Rattus norvegicus: one gene and its partners. The protein of the gene in region 4 interacts with the protein of the main gene of each other region in a pairwise test. Links are inferred from orthologs where the notes say so. Each region holds a gene or a part of one and is shown on either strand. Other genes may lie near its edges.

The links.
Region 1: the proteins of Rbm10 (region 4) and Cpsf7 interact in binary tests that used the Homo sapiens proteins (3 or more experiments, as listed by UniProt). The two-hybrid records come from large-scale screens. The link is inferred for Rattus norvegicus from reciprocal best matches to the Homo sapiens genes RBM10 and CPSF7.
Region 2: the proteins of Rbm10 (region 4) and Thap1 interact in binary tests that used the Homo sapiens proteins (3 or more experiments, as listed by UniProt). The two-hybrid records come from large-scale screens. The link is inferred for Rattus norvegicus from reciprocal best matches to the Homo sapiens genes RBM10 and THAP1.
Region 3: the proteins of Rbm10 (region 4) and Sf3b4 interact in binary tests that used the Homo sapiens proteins (3 or more experiments, as listed by UniProt). The link is inferred for Rattus norvegicus from reciprocal best matches to the Homo sapiens genes RBM10 and SF3B4.

The regions. Positions count from the first base shown.
Region 1 is NC_086019.1:216,602,785-216,606,530, reverse strand, and holds part of Cpsf7 (cleavage and polyadenylation specificity factor subunit 7), read right to left. Parts: intron 3,200-3,746; coding exon 2,785-3,199; intron 1,355-2,784; coding exon 1,236-1,354; intron 1-1,235.
Region 2 is NC_086034.1:72,609,692-72,614,228, forward strand, and holds the start of Thap1 (THAP domain-containing protein 1), read right to left. Parts: upstream 3,000-4,537; 5' UTR 2,767-2,999; coding exon 2,696-2,766; exon of another isoform or gene 2,643-2,695; intron 481-2,642; coding exon 285-480; intron 1-284. UniProt on the Homo sapiens protein: DNA-binding transcription regulator that regulates endothelial cell proliferation and G1/S cell-cycle progression.
Region 3 is NC_086020.1:186,420,068-186,424,499, reverse strand, and holds the start of Sf3b4 (splicing factor 3B subunit 4), read right to left. Parts: upstream 2,834-4,432; 5' UTR 2,597-2,833; coding exon 2,563-2,596; intron 2,186-2,562; coding exon 2,057-2,185; intron 1,613-2,056; coding exon 1,070-1,612; intron 845-1,069; coding exon 638-844; intron 1-637. Other genes in the region: Mtmr11 (myotubularin-related protein 11), read right to left, coding at 3,954-4,100. UniProt on the Homo sapiens protein: Component of the 17S U2 SnRNP complex of the spliceosome, a large ribonucleoprotein complex that removes introns from transcribed pre-mRNAs.
Region 4 is NC_086039.1:4,094,788-4,098,533, reverse strand, and holds part of Rbm10 (RNA-binding protein 10), read left to right. Parts: intron 1-23; coding exon 24-111; intron 112-1,117; coding exon 1,118-1,301; intron 1,302-1,398; coding exon 1,399-1,538; intron 1,539-1,653; coding exon 1,654-1,771; intron 1,772-1,854; coding exon 1,855-1,946; intron 1,947-2,046; coding exon 2,047-2,211; intron 2,212-2,875; coding exon 2,876-3,025; intron 3,026-3,127; coding exon 3,128-3,193; intron 3,194-3,270; coding exon 3,271-3,459; intron 3,460-3,544; coding exon 3,545-3,619; intron 3,620-3,746. UniProt on the Homo sapiens protein: Binds to ssRNA containing the consensus sequence 5'-AGGUAA-3'. May be involved in post-transcriptional processing, most probably in mRNA splicing. Binds to RNA homopolymers, with a preference for poly(G) and poly(U) and little for poly(A).

The DNA of each region.
Region 1 (3,746 bases), on a different chromosome or scaffold from region 4:
TTTACAGCTTTCAATGGCAGGGTAACACACTGAGCAATTTGCTGTTGGACAGTTTCATCATTGTTGAAATACCACAAAGTGTACTTACATAAAATCAGGTTTCACCAGATGATATACGCAACACACACAAACACACCATATATATGAGACCATTGTGGTGCACAAACTATCCTCTCTCTCTCTCTCTCTCTCTCTCTCTCTCTCTCTCTCTCTCTCTCTCACACACACACACACACACACACACACACACACACACACACACACACACGTACATTTAAATGTGCACTTGACTCAACAAATCCACACAGAGGTCCGCTGAAAATGATAACTGGGTGGCTTTGTTTATGCAAAGTAGCAAGAATAGAATGGATAGAAAGTATGCAGGAATTGCGGCACTGTGAAGGACCAGGAACAACAACTCTATACTGGCAAGGAAGTTCTGTTTTAGAGGCACAGAGAATAAGTATTATAGTTTCTATGCCTGGAATAAGAAAAAGAGGGGGAGATAAAAGATTTACTTATCTGCCATTCAGGGTGATGAGACTGACATTGAAAAAGGAAAAAAGATGATTTTCTCTAAACTCCTCTGTATATTGTATAACAATGATCATGCACTATTTTTTAATTTAAGAGGTAAAGTTATGTTTTTCTGGTGAGGGAAGAACTGACAAGAACACATCATTTTTTTTTAAACTACTCTGCAGAATCAAATTGAAACCAAAGTTCAGAAATTATGAAAAACAGGTTAACAGTCAATTTGAACTTCCTTCTTTGAGTATTAACAGTCTATATTACATTTAGATCCATATGGTAAACCCCCAGGAAAAAGTGAGAATGACCTGAACTCCAAACCTTTCTATTCTAGTATGCCAAGCCATTGCTCTACCTACTGAGTTACAACCATAAACTTTGCACTCTTCATCCTCTTCTTTTATGTCCAGGGCTTTCAGAATCCTAGGGGCTGACTCTGCATGCACTGCTGAGGGGAGGGCATGTTAGCTGAAAGGGTAATATGCCTTAGGATGACAACAGACTTTCCTTTAGAGGACAGCCTATCCACAGGTCACCAGCTCTGCTCAGACTTCTTTAGTTGAGGTACCACTTCTAAAACCCCAGTGCTTGCCGCACATCTTCTGACCTCTAACAGTGCTCCAACTTAACTTCTAAAGTTTTCCAGATGGAAATGACAAAGGGGAAAAATTTAAGGCAAAAGCAGTAAAGTAAGAGTTAATCACCTGCACTAGCTCCAGACACTGCTTTGGAAATGGCACTGCTGGAAATTGCTCTGTTTCGCTTCATTATCTCTTCAAATTCAGCTTCACTCACTGTAGACGGTAGAGGGCCTGAATCTCGGCTGCAGAGAGACAATTACACAGTTGACTGCCCACAACCTTTCTTATTTTCATCACATTCTACAGTACTATTACTCAATTCTTCTCTAGGTATGTCTTAAATGTTCATTCTCTACTTTAAGGACAGGATTTATAGCATGTGTTCCTAATTTTGGTTTAACTCAACAGTAGTAATCATTGCAGCATTTGCAGCAGCCATTTATGGCACAGAGTTTAAACAAGCTGCTTAAAGGGAGCTAAGAAAGAGATGTTTTGGGTCAAGTAGATAAGCTGAAAACAGAAAACACTCAATTAAAAAAAAAAAAAAAAGAGAGCTGTGGGAAGTAACTTGGCTCATAAAGTGCTTGCCATGTAAGCATGAGGTCCTGAGTTCAATGTCCAGAATCTACATAAAAATATCACACATGGTGGAGCGTGCTTATAACCCAGTGTTGGGAAAGTGGAAGACAAGTGGATCCCTGGGGCCCACTGGCTAGCCAGTTTAATCTACTTGGGTCTGCTCCAGGCCAATGAAAGACTGTCTCAAGCAAGGTGGACAGCATGTTTTTTTTTTTTTTTTTCTTTTTTTTCGGAGCTGGGGACCGAACCCAGGGCCTTGCGGTTGCTAGGCAAGAGCTCTACCACTGAGCCAAATCCCCAACCGACAGCATGTTTGAGAATGACACTAAAAGTCCTTTGGCTACCATATGCAAGTGCACACAAGCACACATGTAGCTGTATACACATGTGTACTTGCACATACAGGCATGTAAAACAAACCTCTGGTAGATACTAATCTATACCCCAGGACTCGACATCACAGTGAGAATACAGAGGAAAACCACCAGCATTCAGTGCTCATTCATGGAAAACAAATGTCTAAAACACTGTTTTTTTTGTTTGTTTCTTTAAAAAAAAAAAAAAGTTACTATTCTGCCGTGTATATATGTCTATGTGAGGGTGCCAAGTCCCCTGAAAATAGGAGTTAAAAGACAGTTGCGAGTTAACTGAGTGCTGGAAACTGAACCCCTGTCCTCTGGAAGAACAGTCAGTGCTCTTAACCACTGAGCCACCTCTCTAGCCCCTTTGTTTTGTTTGAGACAGGGTTTCTCTGTAGCTCTGGCTGTCCTGGAACTCACTCTGTAGACCAAGCTATCCTCAAACTCAAGAGATTCACCCACTCTGCCTCTTGAGTACTGGAACTAAAAACACAAACCATCATCACTGTCTGACAAAACACTGTCTACTATTGCTTGGTGTAATAGTATATGACAGAAATTTAATACCAACATTCAGGAAGCAGAGGCAGGTGAACTGCTGAGTTTGAGGGCGGCAGTCTATATAAGTGAGGCCTTGTCTCAAAAACAAACAAACAAACAAACAAACAAACAAACAAACAACACTATATACTCTACTATCCTGGCTCAAAGCTGCAGGGAAATATAGTTTTTACCTGCCATGGTGGTTATAGGGTGTAGAGGCCTTCATGTAAGTATCTGGTGGAGGCCCCACTGTAGCATTTGGTGGGGGGAAGAAGGCTGGATTGAGGTGAAGGGCTGGTGGGATGGCCCCAGGGGGAGGTACAGCCAGATGAGGAGGTAATCGAGGAGGGGGGGGCATGAGATGCTGGTAGTGGATACCAGGAGGAGGAGGAGGGACACCAAAGCTTGAGGAGAGAGGTGGTGGGGGTGGAATTGGGGGTGGGGGCAGACCCATTAGGGGAAGGGCTGAAGGAGGACGGTTAAAGTAGGGCAACACGCTGGGGGGCTTATCCACACGAGCAGATGAGGGTACAAGATTCTCAGAGGGGGTTGCCCGTCCATCAGCAGAATCACTAGAATCTCGGGAGTGGGCCCGTGGAGGTATTCCTGCAAAGCAAAACAGAGCTTATATTACTGCCCAGGCAGGCTTTGGCTATAGCGATAGGACCAGCTCATCTCTCAGCAAGTCTGGTACCACATAAAAGAATACAAGTAAAGCAGGTAAGAGAAAAGAAACAAATCATTTGGTGCCTTTCCATTGGCCTCAGCAGAAAGATCAGAAGTATTCTGGTTAGGACAACTTCAAAAAGCAACAGAACTCTTAATTTAAGAGAAACCTTGTTTCCTATTTTCAAATAAATACACATGCTCCAACAACCCTTAAGGAAAGGATGTTTAAGCATGCTCAGTGATGTTCTGCTGGATTTTACATGCCTTGAATCCTGTGTTCCCAAGAGTTCAGAGACCCAAGACCACTACAAGTTATATTTTATTGTGCTGAACTCTAGAAACATTCTCTTTGTCATGGAGCTCTAGTCAGGGAACTAAAGAAAGAACAGGAAGAGCAGGAGACAGAGCCATCCTCTACCTACATTTTATTCAAAGAGTTAACTCAGCCTAGTTAAAGTAGACCCCAAGAGAACATGACATGGCC
Region 2 (4,537 bases), on a different chromosome or scaffold from region 4:
GGTTTTAACCCTTCCCTGATTTTCCCATGAACACACTAGCTTCATAAATTAAAACAGCATTCACTCAAATCCAGTGCTTATGATAGAATTTGGAAGGTAGAGGCAGGAGGATCAGGAGTTCCAATTCAGCCTTAGCTATACGCAAGCTCAAAGCCAGCCTGGACTACTTAAGACTTTGTCTCACACAAGGAATGGGAGGGGAAGAGAATGCAGAGGAGGAAAGAAAACAAAGAAAAGACCGGGAAAGGAAAAAAACAAATCCAGCATTTAAGAACCCAAATTACCTTCTCATGTGGCTCTATATAGAGAAAAATAGTGGGCACAGCGTTCTCCTTCAGTAGCTTGTTGTTGCACTCTCTCTTAAAGCAGTCTGGAGTAAAGTGCTCCGAACAGATACTGCTGTACTTAGTGGGCTTGAAGTTTTTCCTTCTAACAGCTGCCTCCCACTGTTTACAAAGACTGGGACGAGTAAGAGGAAACCTAAGAAGATACAATTCAGTTCTCTGACTTTACTTTAAAAAATAAATAATACCCTTCCCCCATTCTCATACTAAGGAAAATCTTAACATACTAAGGAGAATCTGATTGGAGATCAGTTCCGGTTACTATTCTCACTCAGTGAGCTTCACCTTTTTATACTGAAGACACTTAACAGTTCAGTTAAAATAGATCGTATGTGGGGTTGGGGATTTAGCTCAGTGGTAGAGTACTTGCCTAGCAAGCGCAAGGCCCTGGGTTCGGTCCCCAGCTCCAAAAAAAAAAAAAAAAAAAAAAAGAAAAGAAAAGAAAAAAAATTGATCATATGTGCAAATTCTACGCATATTTTTACTAAAAATTTTGTGTCTTATAGAACAAAACTTGGACATATGTCTACATCCTGAAATAGACGTCTAGCTCTTTTTAATCACTCCAACAAAGAGACTACATCCTGAATTGGGCAAGTGACAAAGATGGTAAGGACGTTATTTTATGGCTTAATTCAGTGTATGGAATGGGGAATCCTTGTATCTATTGCCACTATGCTTTTCTATAACAAAAACTTGGTGGGAGATGCTAGAGGAATCAGAAATGGCTGAAAAGGAATGTTTCCACTTATTTTTACTATTCCACTACATAAGGTATGTGGGACCCTGATCATCATTTTCTTTATGAAGACCTAACCAATCTTCCTGCTAGTGTTTATTCTTTACACAGCCAGCTTTCTCCACTGCTACTGCACACAGGCTGGAAAAAAGATATTCCTGAAAAGAAGTACAACCACTGTGGTAGCTTCTTATAAATCTTAGTATCTCATCTCCTGGCATAGAGCACAAACTCTGAACTGTCAAGATCTTTGCCATTTACTGTTCTTACATAAGGAATAAGACTCATTCTTGTTTTTATGTTTCAACATCCAGCAGTTGAAACAGTAGTTTGATGTGTGCCATTTTTTTTTTCTTTTTTCTTTTTTTCAGAGCTGGGGACCGAACCCAGGGCCTTGCGCTTGCTAGGCAAGCGCTCTACCACTGAGTTAAATCCCCAACCCCGATGTGTGCCATTTTTAACTAGTCTGCATATTTGAAGACTCCTGGGCCATCTTAATAAAGCATAGGAAAGGGAAGTGGCAAGTCGGATGCATATCCCTGTCACCATTTCCTGATCTGTTCTGACATTCTGAAGGCGTATGAAATTTCAATCAATCAAGTCGTAGTAATTGGACATATTCTATCCTCTTCCCACAGAGAAAACACCAGCATACAACTCTTACTTTCTAACAAACACTTTTAAACAAAAACACTAGCTCCCCAAATCCCTGAGGGAACATTTTGAAATTTGTTTCTGTAATTGTTTTCCCTATAGACAGTTTGGATAATTTTCCAGTGGGTCTGATTTCTTAGCTATTCTCTGCATACAGTCAGGAATTCTTCCAAAACCTAACATAAAACTTGTAATAACGAATTTAGCTGCCTAAAAGTATGTCACATTTTGTGGACCGTTAGCATTGCTAATAATCACCATCAGTAACGTTAATTCTATTGCCTTCTTCTTTCAAGAGAGTATTTTTCATCCTGGATTCTTGCTTGCTGCACACACAAGAACAAGGCCTGACAGCTGTGGGGGAAAGCTAACATTAGTTCCATCAACCTTTCCCAGGGCATCTGAGTAAAGTGAATGCTATCGTTTCATTACTACCGTGTGTTGAAAGACTGGGGCTCATCTTGGCAATACCAAGAGTCACCTCTAAAACCCACAGATCCTTAAAGCTTGGTTCTTTGAAACCAGGTCTAAAAGTCCTGGTCAGATGTCAACACTCAGCTATCCTGCTTCCCTCCTAACAGCAGCAGCGAGGTCAGAAGCCAGGTCTCCCTCCCATGCTTTTCTAGTTCCAGTTTATCCCTATGGGACATTTCCACGGCTTGGCTTGGGACGAAATCCGGAGGGCAGCGAGAGGCTTCCAGGCGTCCATCGCTTGCTCGCCAGAAACCCTCCACGAGCGCAAAGGCGCGGCCGCAGCCTCAGCAGAGCCCAGCCAACGGAGGCGGCGCGCGCCGGGAACGCGCAGCCATGGGTCCCCGCCCCCGCCGGCCAGCCCCGTCTGCCGCCCGAGCCCGCCGGCCGCCCCGCCTCCTCCAGGTCTCGCGCGGCCACGCGCCGGGCTCCGCCTCCACCCGCCCGCGCGCCCCTGCCGCGGCCGCGGAGCACGCCAGTTACCTACTTGTGGAAGGAGACGGGCTTGTCCTTATCGTACCGGTTCTTGCAGCCGTAGGCGGAACAGGACTGCACCATCCTTCTGGCCCTCCACACTTCCCCTCTGCCCGGGAGGCAGGTGAAGGGGCCGTCGGTGCCGCCGCGCTCGGCTTTGATACGGTCGCCGCTTTCGGTGGCTTTGGTTAGCAGTTATGGGGACGATTACCTCACCGTGGGGGGTGACCACCCGGTCCGTTGTGGTGTTTGCTTTAGCAGAAAGACAACAGCTGTCGCTCGTCTCCCATCTTCAAGATGGCGGAGGCAGCTTCAACCTCACCTCTCGCGAGGAGTTCGCTCGCAGGCTCTGATTAGCCGAAGGTAACGTTCCCAGGGAAGCTGACCATTGGTTAGGGCGAGGCGTGCCTGGGGGGCGTGGTCAGCAGTGCGGAAGTGGGTGGGTCCTCTGCGCCTTGGCCGGAAGAAAGCGCGTTTGTTTGGGAGCCTTGCTTTAGTCTCTTGTAGGGTCTTGTATTGGTGAGTGTGGTAAACTTAATTCAATTTAAACCGCCTGTTGGACCCAGAAGCGTAAAGGGAAGGTGGGAAAGCTCGTCCCTGGTCACATGTAATTTTTAAAAAGGGCGGCTGCGGAGGTGTGATTTATACAAATCTGTGTTCCACGTTCAGAATCCAGATGGCCGTCTACTTAAAGAGCGAGTACAGACGTGCATTTCATTTCTTCTAAGCTGAGAATCAAAAGCACTTATTTTTTAAAATTTATTTTATATTTGTGAGTACACTGTCGCTGTCTTCCGACTCACCAGAAGAGGGCAGCGGATCCCACTGCAGATGGCTGTGAGCCACATGCGGTTGCTAGGAATTGAACTCAGGACCTCTGGAAGAGCAGTCAGTGCTCTTAACCGCTGAGCCGTTTCTCCAGCTTGGAACGTTGTTACCTTTGCGTTCTGTCTGTGCTGGAAATTGCGAGCTGTTGCAGCTATTTTTCATGCTAGAGAGAAGTGTTACATGCTTGACCTTCTGTAGTTTTGAGTCTGGGGCGCGTGTGCCCGACATCATTGTAGACCTTTGACTCTTGAGCCCGCATACCATCCTTTACTAGCCCCTCTAACTTCAGCACACATGGACTTGCCTTCTGAGTCACCATGTATGTGGTTTAATGCATTTGCCGGCTACTTAAATCTGGAACCCTGGTATCAATGAGATCAATCAAACAAACAAAACCAGGACTTAACTCAGTGGTAAAGAGCATTTGTTGCTCTTGCAGAGGACCCAGATTCGGTTCCCAGCACCCACAAGGCAGTTCACACCATCTATAACTTTAGGCAAATGGGCACCAAGCACACATGTAGGTCAGAGGACGGCCTGTGGGAGTGGATTCTCTTCCTTCCACCCTGTGGGCTTCCAGGGACCCAACTCCCATTAGTCTTGGTTCCCAGTGTTTTTATCAGCTGCTCCTAGGATTTCTCCCCCTTCCTCAAGACTTAGGTTAATCTCATAGAGTAAAACTAGTACCTCTTGGTTATTCTCTCACCAGCAATCTTGAATTCAAGTACTCAGTCTCCTACTCAACTTTTTGTCAGTCCTAGTCTCCAGCCTTCTCTCTGTCCCTCGTAAAAACACTGCCAGTTCCTTGCTTATAAAACTTAGACTTCAGAGTCTACCTCTGGAGTGAGTAAAATCCAAATTGCTTATGGTGGCTGCATAGGCAGCAGGTACTCTGTGTTTTTACCATCCTGCCCTGCTTGTCCTTCAACTCCTTTAACTGCTCAAATACAGAGTTTTGCTTGGCCTGGGATGCCCATCCCCTGACCTCCCCATGTATCCTTAAGATGAATCTTATGTGTTATGTCTG
Region 3 (4,432 bases), on a different chromosome or scaffold from region 4:
ATGTAAAGTGGAAGACTGAACAGACAAACCCCCAGAGTTGTGGACTGGGCTCCTACAAGTGAGAGCCATTGAAGATGGTGTTGGAAAGAGAAAAGTAAACTGTGGGTTGAGCAGCAGCCTTTTCTAGTCTACCAAGAACCTCAGAACAGAGACCCAGAATAAATCATAACCTTCACATTTAACACTACAGATAAACACAGAAAAGAGAACCAAGCACGAAATCTACACATACATAAAAAAGGAATTGATCCAGGTTGCTAAAGTTGACATTAGAAAATCTAAAAATACATATGCCTTTAATCCCAGCACTTGGGAGGCAGAGGCAGGAGGATCCCTGAGTTTAAGGGTAACCTGGTCTACAGGGGGAGTTCCAGAACAGCAAGGTTTACACAGAGAAACCCTGTCTCGAAAAACCAAAAGCAGAAATGTCTTCTAGATTTGGCAACCTTGGAAGCAGAGGAGAGGTTGAGAGCTTTTGCCAAGCACAAGCTATAGGTGGAGATAACACAGGAGCACACCAACATGTACAAAGTATTGTTTGTTTTCTGAAGAAAAGGACTCTGGACTATTTCCACCCAAGACAAAGAGCACTGGGAGAAGCAGTACAAAGGCCCCTCTACAAGCTCAGCGCACTTACCTGGATGGGGCATCCCACCTGGTGGGAATGGATGAGGATGTGAATGTCCATGACCAGGATGTCCAGCCCCTGGAGTTCCTGCTGCTGGGGGACCATGTCCTCCAGCCCCAGGTGGCATAGGTGGTGGGGGCATTGCTGGGGGTATCCCAGGAGGAAGGGCCCCAGGAGGTGGCACTGGAGGTGGGAACGAACCAGGAGGTGGCATTCCTGTTTAAGAAATGAAGGACAATTAGTGGTATCGGACAGAATGTCTTTCCCAGCATGCTACACTCCAGCTTCCTAAGGACATGCACCAACTTCTTCCCTCCCACCAGCATCCTCACTCCTCCCTCACTGCCCACTGACTTCACAGCTTACTCTTCCAGGGCTTCCTCTGCCCCCTGACCTCCCTCCCATGGGCCTCACTGGCATAGTCTGAACTACAAGCTGTACCTGGTGGAGGAAGCCCAGAACCCAGGGATGAAACCACAGGATTGGGGGCAGAGGGTGGAGGGGGTGCATCGGCAAACAGCTGATGAGGGCGGTCAGCCTGAGACAGCGGGTTCTGGGCTGCCAGAAGTCGTTCAGCTGCTGAGCCATGTCGTTCACCCTTAGAGTCCTTCTTGAAGGCATAAGACACAGTGATAGGGCGGTTACACAGGTACTGCCCATTCATGGCCTCAATTGCTGCATCTGAAGCATCAAATGAAGCAAAATTAATGAAGGCGTAACCCTTGGAGTTGCCTGTGTCAGGGTCCCGCATAATCTTGGGGGTCTGTAAGATGACTCCAAAGGCGCTAAAAGTATCGTAAAGCAACTTCTCATCAATTTCTGGGTCCAGATTTCCAATGAAAATGTTGGCTCCTACATCCAGGTTTTTGTTGTGAGCCGAGGCTTTGTTCACCCGTATTGGCTTCCCATAGAGTTTGATCATGTTCATAATCTTAATGGCATAGTCAGCATCTTCCTCACTCAAGAATTCAACAAAGCCATAGCCTAGGAAACCAATGAAAAAAGACCACTCAGGTGAAGAGATTCAAAATCAAACATTAACTCACCAGTTTGCAAACACAAAGAACAAAGCAGGTAAGGGCTGGGTGGGGGCTCATGCTTCTAATGCCACCATGCTGGAGCAGAGGTGGAGCCCTGAGTTTGAGGCCAGCCTGGTCTACAGAGCATGTTCCAGGACAGCCAAGGACTACACAGAGAACCACTGTCTTGAAAATAAAACAATAAAAAGAACATGACAGAAGAATAATCTTACTTCACTTGAGAATGGTTCCAGTAACTAGTGCTAAGAGAAACTATTCCAAAAACTGAACTGAAGCTTAAGGGGGAAAAGAACCTTTAGGTTGCTCATTCCAAAGTAGTTGTGACTGGAGTTGTGACTCTTCAGGGGCCGTTAACGCTATACAGGGTTAATTCTCGACATGTACTCACCTTGGTGCTGGCCAGTGACTCTATCCTTTGGCATGTGGGTGTTGACCACTGGCCCTGCCTGGAGAAAGAGCTCCCATAGCAGTGGCTCGCTCACTTTCTCGTCTAGACCTCCCACGTACACCGTGGCATCTAAAGGGAAGAAGCAGGAGGTAAGGAGAGGGTCAAGAGTGAAAAGTAAAATAAAAACCAAAAACGTTAACTAAAGACCCGAAATTCCCTCAGCTTCCACAGTCTAGAAAAATCCGCTACGTCTAATTTGGCATTCTTGCTGATCCTGTATTTCCGGAGAATTTTGTCTTCTTGGTAGAGGAGTATTTAAAGAGAATGGATCTAGAAGCATCACTCTTCATAGGCCTGGGCCTCCACTTGGCCTCGAGGCGAGCCAGGCGCCCAGAGGTCGGTCTCACATCAGAGGGATCTCGTCTCCCACCCAAGCAGAAATGCTTCTGGCATTAATCAGCTCTTCACTTCCCTGCCCCTATCTTGGTCTCTTTTCTCCCAATTACCCTGATTCCGTTCGGAGATCGGTCCGGCAGCCATGGCGAAAGGGCTCCCGCCGTCTCTAAGCAGCAGCACCGCCCCCCTGACCTCAGTTTCTACTTCCACTTCCGGGCCAAGGCTCACATTGGGCGGGGCCGGCGACAAGGGAGGAGCCGGAAGCGATCGCGGCCATCTTAGGAGTCAGATTCGTGTCGGACAGAAGGGAAAGGTGCTCTGGAGCTGCCGCAGCAATCGGGGTGGAACAGAAGTGAATCAGCCGGTCTTGATACAGTTAACTAAAGCCCTGAATGCTTCCAGACTGTTAGGGCATCACACTGCACCCCAAGCGCAAATTGAAATGCTAAACCAAGCTTTGTATGTTCTGTGACGCAGAGACGTGTGCTAGGCAAAGTCCCGCCATATCCAGGGCCAGGACTGCCTTTGAAAACAGCCTATTTTTAATTCGGTCCACAACGCTCGTGCAGATTCGCCCTCGGCCTAGGCTTGAGCTCGAGGTATTTTGGTTTCCCGTAAGTGTCAGAGCTCCTCCAATCTTGGGAAATTTGAGACCGAGGGTGCTCACAGGCAGGTATTGAAGCTTTAAGAGGCAGGTGTGGATCTCTGAGCTAAAGGCTAGCCAGGTCTACAGAACGAGATCCAGGACAGCCATGGCCTCACAGAAAAATCTGTCTCGGAAAAAAAAAAAAAAAAATTCCAGGCTAGCCTGATATACAGAGAGACCTTGTCTCAAAAAAGGTGTGTGTGCGTATGTGTGTGTGGGGCGGGGGGGCTTTCCCAATATTTCATGTGCATTCTGCCCAGCCCTGCCAATCCTTTATTTCCTTACAATAATAAGTGTCCTTTTCTCAGTTCACACTACCCCACAACCACCACCGCTTTGCTGAGATCTTCATTCAATACAAGAAAATACCAGCAATGTGTAGAAATACTGTGCTTTAATGAACTCCTTAAATAGAAATGCTGCTACAAAAATATACAGTGGGAGGAGGAGGTGTCTCCCTTATTCACCTCATTCCCACAGAAGACTAAGAAAAGATTTCAATGTAGTGTTGAGGGGTTGAGAATGAGGTCTCTAGGACACCTTGCTGGGGCTGATGAAAAGGGTCTCTGATATCATACTTTTGACAACCATCCAAATGGCACAGAATTGCCTCGAAAAAAGGCAATCATTCTGAATTGGTTTTGTTTCTTATTTTTCAAATCACAAGAAACAAAAATAGCTCCAGGAACCAAACGAGACAGGAGAGCTGGAGGTTGGTAGCACCATCTACAGAAACTGGCCTACTAAGTGAGCTTTACAGACTGGAATACCAAACCCGAAGCACCAAGGTCAGACATAAACATCAGCAGAAACAAACCCCCGCCCTCTGCCCTGCCTTTGAGATGGCTAGCAGTTTCAGCAGATCTGAGAAAGGATAGTATTTGGATCTCTTTTCTTGCTGTGGTCCTCCGGAGATATTCTTGGTGTCCATTTTCTTAATAGTTCCTGAAGATGAGACAGCTCATCTTGAAGGCCAGAGATTGTGAGAGCTGAAGAGCCTATCTGGGGAGAGGCAAAGGAAGGTGCAAAGAGAGATTGTCACAGGTCTAGTTCCTTTTTCTTTTTTCTTTTTCTTTTTTTCTCAGGTTTGTCTGTTTTTATTTTCAAGACTGGGGTTTCTCTGTGTAGCCCTGGCTATCCTAGAACTAACTCTGTAGACCAGGCTGGTCTCAAACTCAGAGACCCAGTTGCTCCTGCCTCTTGAGAGCTAGGATTAAAGGTGTGTCCCACAACTCCCTGGCTAGTTTTCTAGTAAGATCCTTGGTACTTTAAAGTCTTAAATGTTCTTTCCCCTTCTAATAGTGCTCTAGATTCTACGTGCTCCAAAGTCACAG
Region 4 (3,746 bases):
CCAGTTTCTACTGTCCTCCCCAGGGATATGGCCTCCAATGAAGGCAGTCGCATCAATGCTGCCTCTGTGGCCAGCACTGCCATTGCTGCTGCCCAGTGGGCAATCTCACAGGTACTTGGCCTCTGCCCCCATCACCCTGGCATCTAACTTTCTTAACCCTTCTGTATTCTTTCTGCAAACAACAAAGTAGACTTGTTAACAAACTGTTGTGCCCTGTTACAAGTGTTGTAGGCTTTCCTACCTTTACTCAGTTACTCCTGCCTTTCTAGATCCATCCCTACTCCATCCCTTCTGTCATTCCCAGTCACTTGTTAGACTTTTTTTCTTCTTTAAGATTTGTTTTTACTTTATTTTTATGTGTATGAGTGTTTTGCCTGTACCTATGCATGTGCACCATGTGTATGTGCAGTGCCTGCAGAAGTCAAAAGAGGGTGTCTGATCCCTTCAACCTAGATTTTTGAATGCTTGGAATAACCATATAGGTGCTGGGAACTGAACCTGTCTTCTGAGTCCTCTCTCCATCCCTGTCTCCTGCACTTTTCTTGCTAGCATTCCCTGGGTTGGTTGTCTATGCTGTTGGGGAGTACTTTTTTTTTAATTGTTCTCAGTTGGTCTAATATGTTGCATATTCTTTGAGTGTGTGTGTGTGTGATTCATCGTTTAAGTATATGTGCCATGAATAAAAAGGAATTTATAAGTATCTAAAAAGTACTTTGGGAGCCAGATAGAGTGATAAACACCTGTAATCCCAGTTCTTATGAGGTAGAGGCAGGAGGATTGCCAAAGTCCCAGGCCAGCATGGGCTACATAGGTGTAGGTGGGGGGGGGGTAAAGGAAAACAAAAGGGAAGAGATTAAGAGTGTCTTGCTTGGTATGAGGAGTAAATAACACATGTACCTTATCAGTATCAGTCTAGTGTACATTTGGACATGTAGCCTTTTCCTGTCTCTTTTCTTGTGACTGTTCTCTTATGACCAGGACCCCTTGATTTTTACTTAAGACTACATGCTTTTCTGTCAGGTAGAAATCCTAGCTCCACATGTAGGGACGGGTACTTTTAGCAGATTTCTTTATTTATGTTCCCTCCTGATCTAATGATCTCTCTTCTGCCCCTCAGGCCTCCCAGGGTGGGGAGAGTACCTGGGCTGCCCCCGAGGAGCCACCAGTTGACTACAGCTACTACCAACAGGATGAGGGCTATGGCAGCAGCCAGGGAACAGATTCCCTCTATGCCCATGGCTACCTTAAGAATACCAAGGGCCCTGGCATGACTGGGACCAAAGGGGACACATCTGGAGCAGGTGAGCCTCATCCTCTCTTGCTGAGCCTAATTGTGGGGCCTAGAGGCCATATGCTCTGACATTCATGGGCATTCATTCTCCTTGGTTTTCTTTTCAGGTCCTGAGACCTCCCTTGAGGGTGGGACAGACTCTGTGTCACTGCAGGCTTTCTCTCGAGCCCAGCCTGGTGCTGCCCCTGGACTCTATCAGCAATCAGCTGAGGGGAGCAGTGGCCAGGGCACTGCTACCAACAGCCAGGTGAGAATGGCATTGGTACTCTGGGGAGGCTGGTAGGCTGGCAAGGTGCATCCTGAGTGGGCAGGGTGGTATTAACAGACACTGAGTCCTGTTCCCTTATGTGACCCATGAGTAGTCATATACCATCATGTCACCTGCTGTGCTCAAGTCTGAGCTCCAGAGCCCTACTCATCCCAGCTCTGCCTTACCACCGGCCACCAGTCCCACTGCCCCAGAGTCCTACAGCCAGTACCGTGAGTATCCATAGCCTGTGGGTAAGGGTATGGACTTCTCTAAACAGAGAGGAATTCCACAACCTTGCCTTTGCTCCCCACAGCTGTTCCTGATGTCTCTACTTACCAATATGATGAGACATCTGGCTACTACTATGACCCCCAGACTGGTCTATACTATGATCCCAACTCCCAGGTAAGTGATAGGGTAGCTTAGGGAAAACTGGAGTGTGGCTTTGTGGTAGCTACCTCTACACATACTTCCTCACATCCCCTCTTCCCATTCTCTCCTTCAGTATTACTACAATGCTCAGAGTCAGCAGTACCTATACTGGGATGGGGAGCGGCGGACCTACATACCTGCCTTGGAGCAGTCTGCTGATGGACATAAGGACACAGGGGCATCATCAAAGGAGGGAAAAGAGAAAAAAGAGAAGCATAAGACGAAGACGGCCCAACAGGTGACCTTCCAGCCATCATCTGGTTGTTTGGAGTCTATGTTCTGTCACTTTTTGCTCTCACCTGCTTTAGAAAGAAGGGTGGTGGGTAGGTATGGACAGGGATAGTAACTGTTTCAGATAGACAGTACTCCTGAGCTAGATCTCTTTTGAGGGTACTATAGCAGGACCATCTGAGTGAACTCTGACAGCGTTTCTCTATCCTACAAAGGAACCTTCATGCTGGTGGTAGATGTGTATTGATCCCAGAGAAATTCTCATACCCTATAAGGAGTTGAGTAGGAGAAGAAACACTGCAGGGTTTTCTAGTAGAGAAAAATTAGAAGGAACCTCAGTCTCTGTGGAGAAAAGGTATGGCATTGAAGCAAACAATAAATATTCTCTCCACCTGATTCTCAAAATGTTTCATGCCCCAGGAAAACCACAAAACATTAATGTGACATGATGTCACATGCCTTAGTTAGGTTTCTGTTGCTGTGACAATCACTGACCAAAAAAAGCAGTATGGGTATGAAAGTGTTGATTCCATCATAAAGGAAAGTCAAAGGAGGTACAGATTTGAAGCTACAGAGCAGGAAGGGTTCTTGCTGCAGGGGCCATGGGTGAGAAAGTAGAGAGCCAAGCTTGAGGAATTCTGGAAACTGTAACCTCAACCCTTAACCCCTAGATTGCCAAGGACATGGAGCGGTGGGCCCGCAGTCTCAACAAGCAAAAAGAAAACTTCAAAAACAGCTTCCAGCCTATTAGTGCTCTACGAGATGATGAAAGGCGGGAATCAGCCACTGCAGATGCAGGCTATGCCATCCTTGAGAAGAAGGTATATTGTAACTATCCATCTGTACCCCACCATTCTTTAGGTTCTCTTACCATTCTTTAGGGTTCTCTGTGGAGCTTTGAATTTCTGTTTCTTCTGCCTCAGGGAGCACTAGCTGAAAGACAGCACACCAGCATGGATCTCCCAAAGTTGGCCAGTGATGACCGCCCTGTAAGTTTCAGGACAAAAGGGGTAGGGGTCCCTGATCTTAGCAGGTGTGACTGACTGCCCACCCTTACCCTCTACAGAGCCCACCTCGAGGGCTGGTGGCAGCCTATAGTGGAGAGAGTGACAGTGAGGAGGAGCAGGAGCGAGGGGGTCCTGAGCGGGAAGAAAAGCTCACAGACTGGCAGAAGCTAGCCTGTCTGCTCTGCCGCCGCCAGTTTCCCAGCAAGGAGGCGCTCATCCGGCACCAGCAGCTCTCTGGACTCCACAAGGTGATTGAGGAGAGAGTTGGTAGGATAGCCCGTGTCTAGCCCAGCCGAGCCTAGTTGCTTTACTCTATCCTGTCCCCCTTTACAGCAAAACCTTGAGATTCATCGACGGGCCCACTTGTCAGAAAATGAATTGGAAGCACTAGAAAAGAATGACATGGAGGTAAGATGTGACCCACTCATTGGCTCCATCTTGTCTGTCCCCTCCCAAGTTCCTGTTCCTCCAGCCAGTGGGACTTGAAAGTTCCTTAGCCCTCTATTGCTGTGAGGCTTCTTCCTAGTTCCCGTTC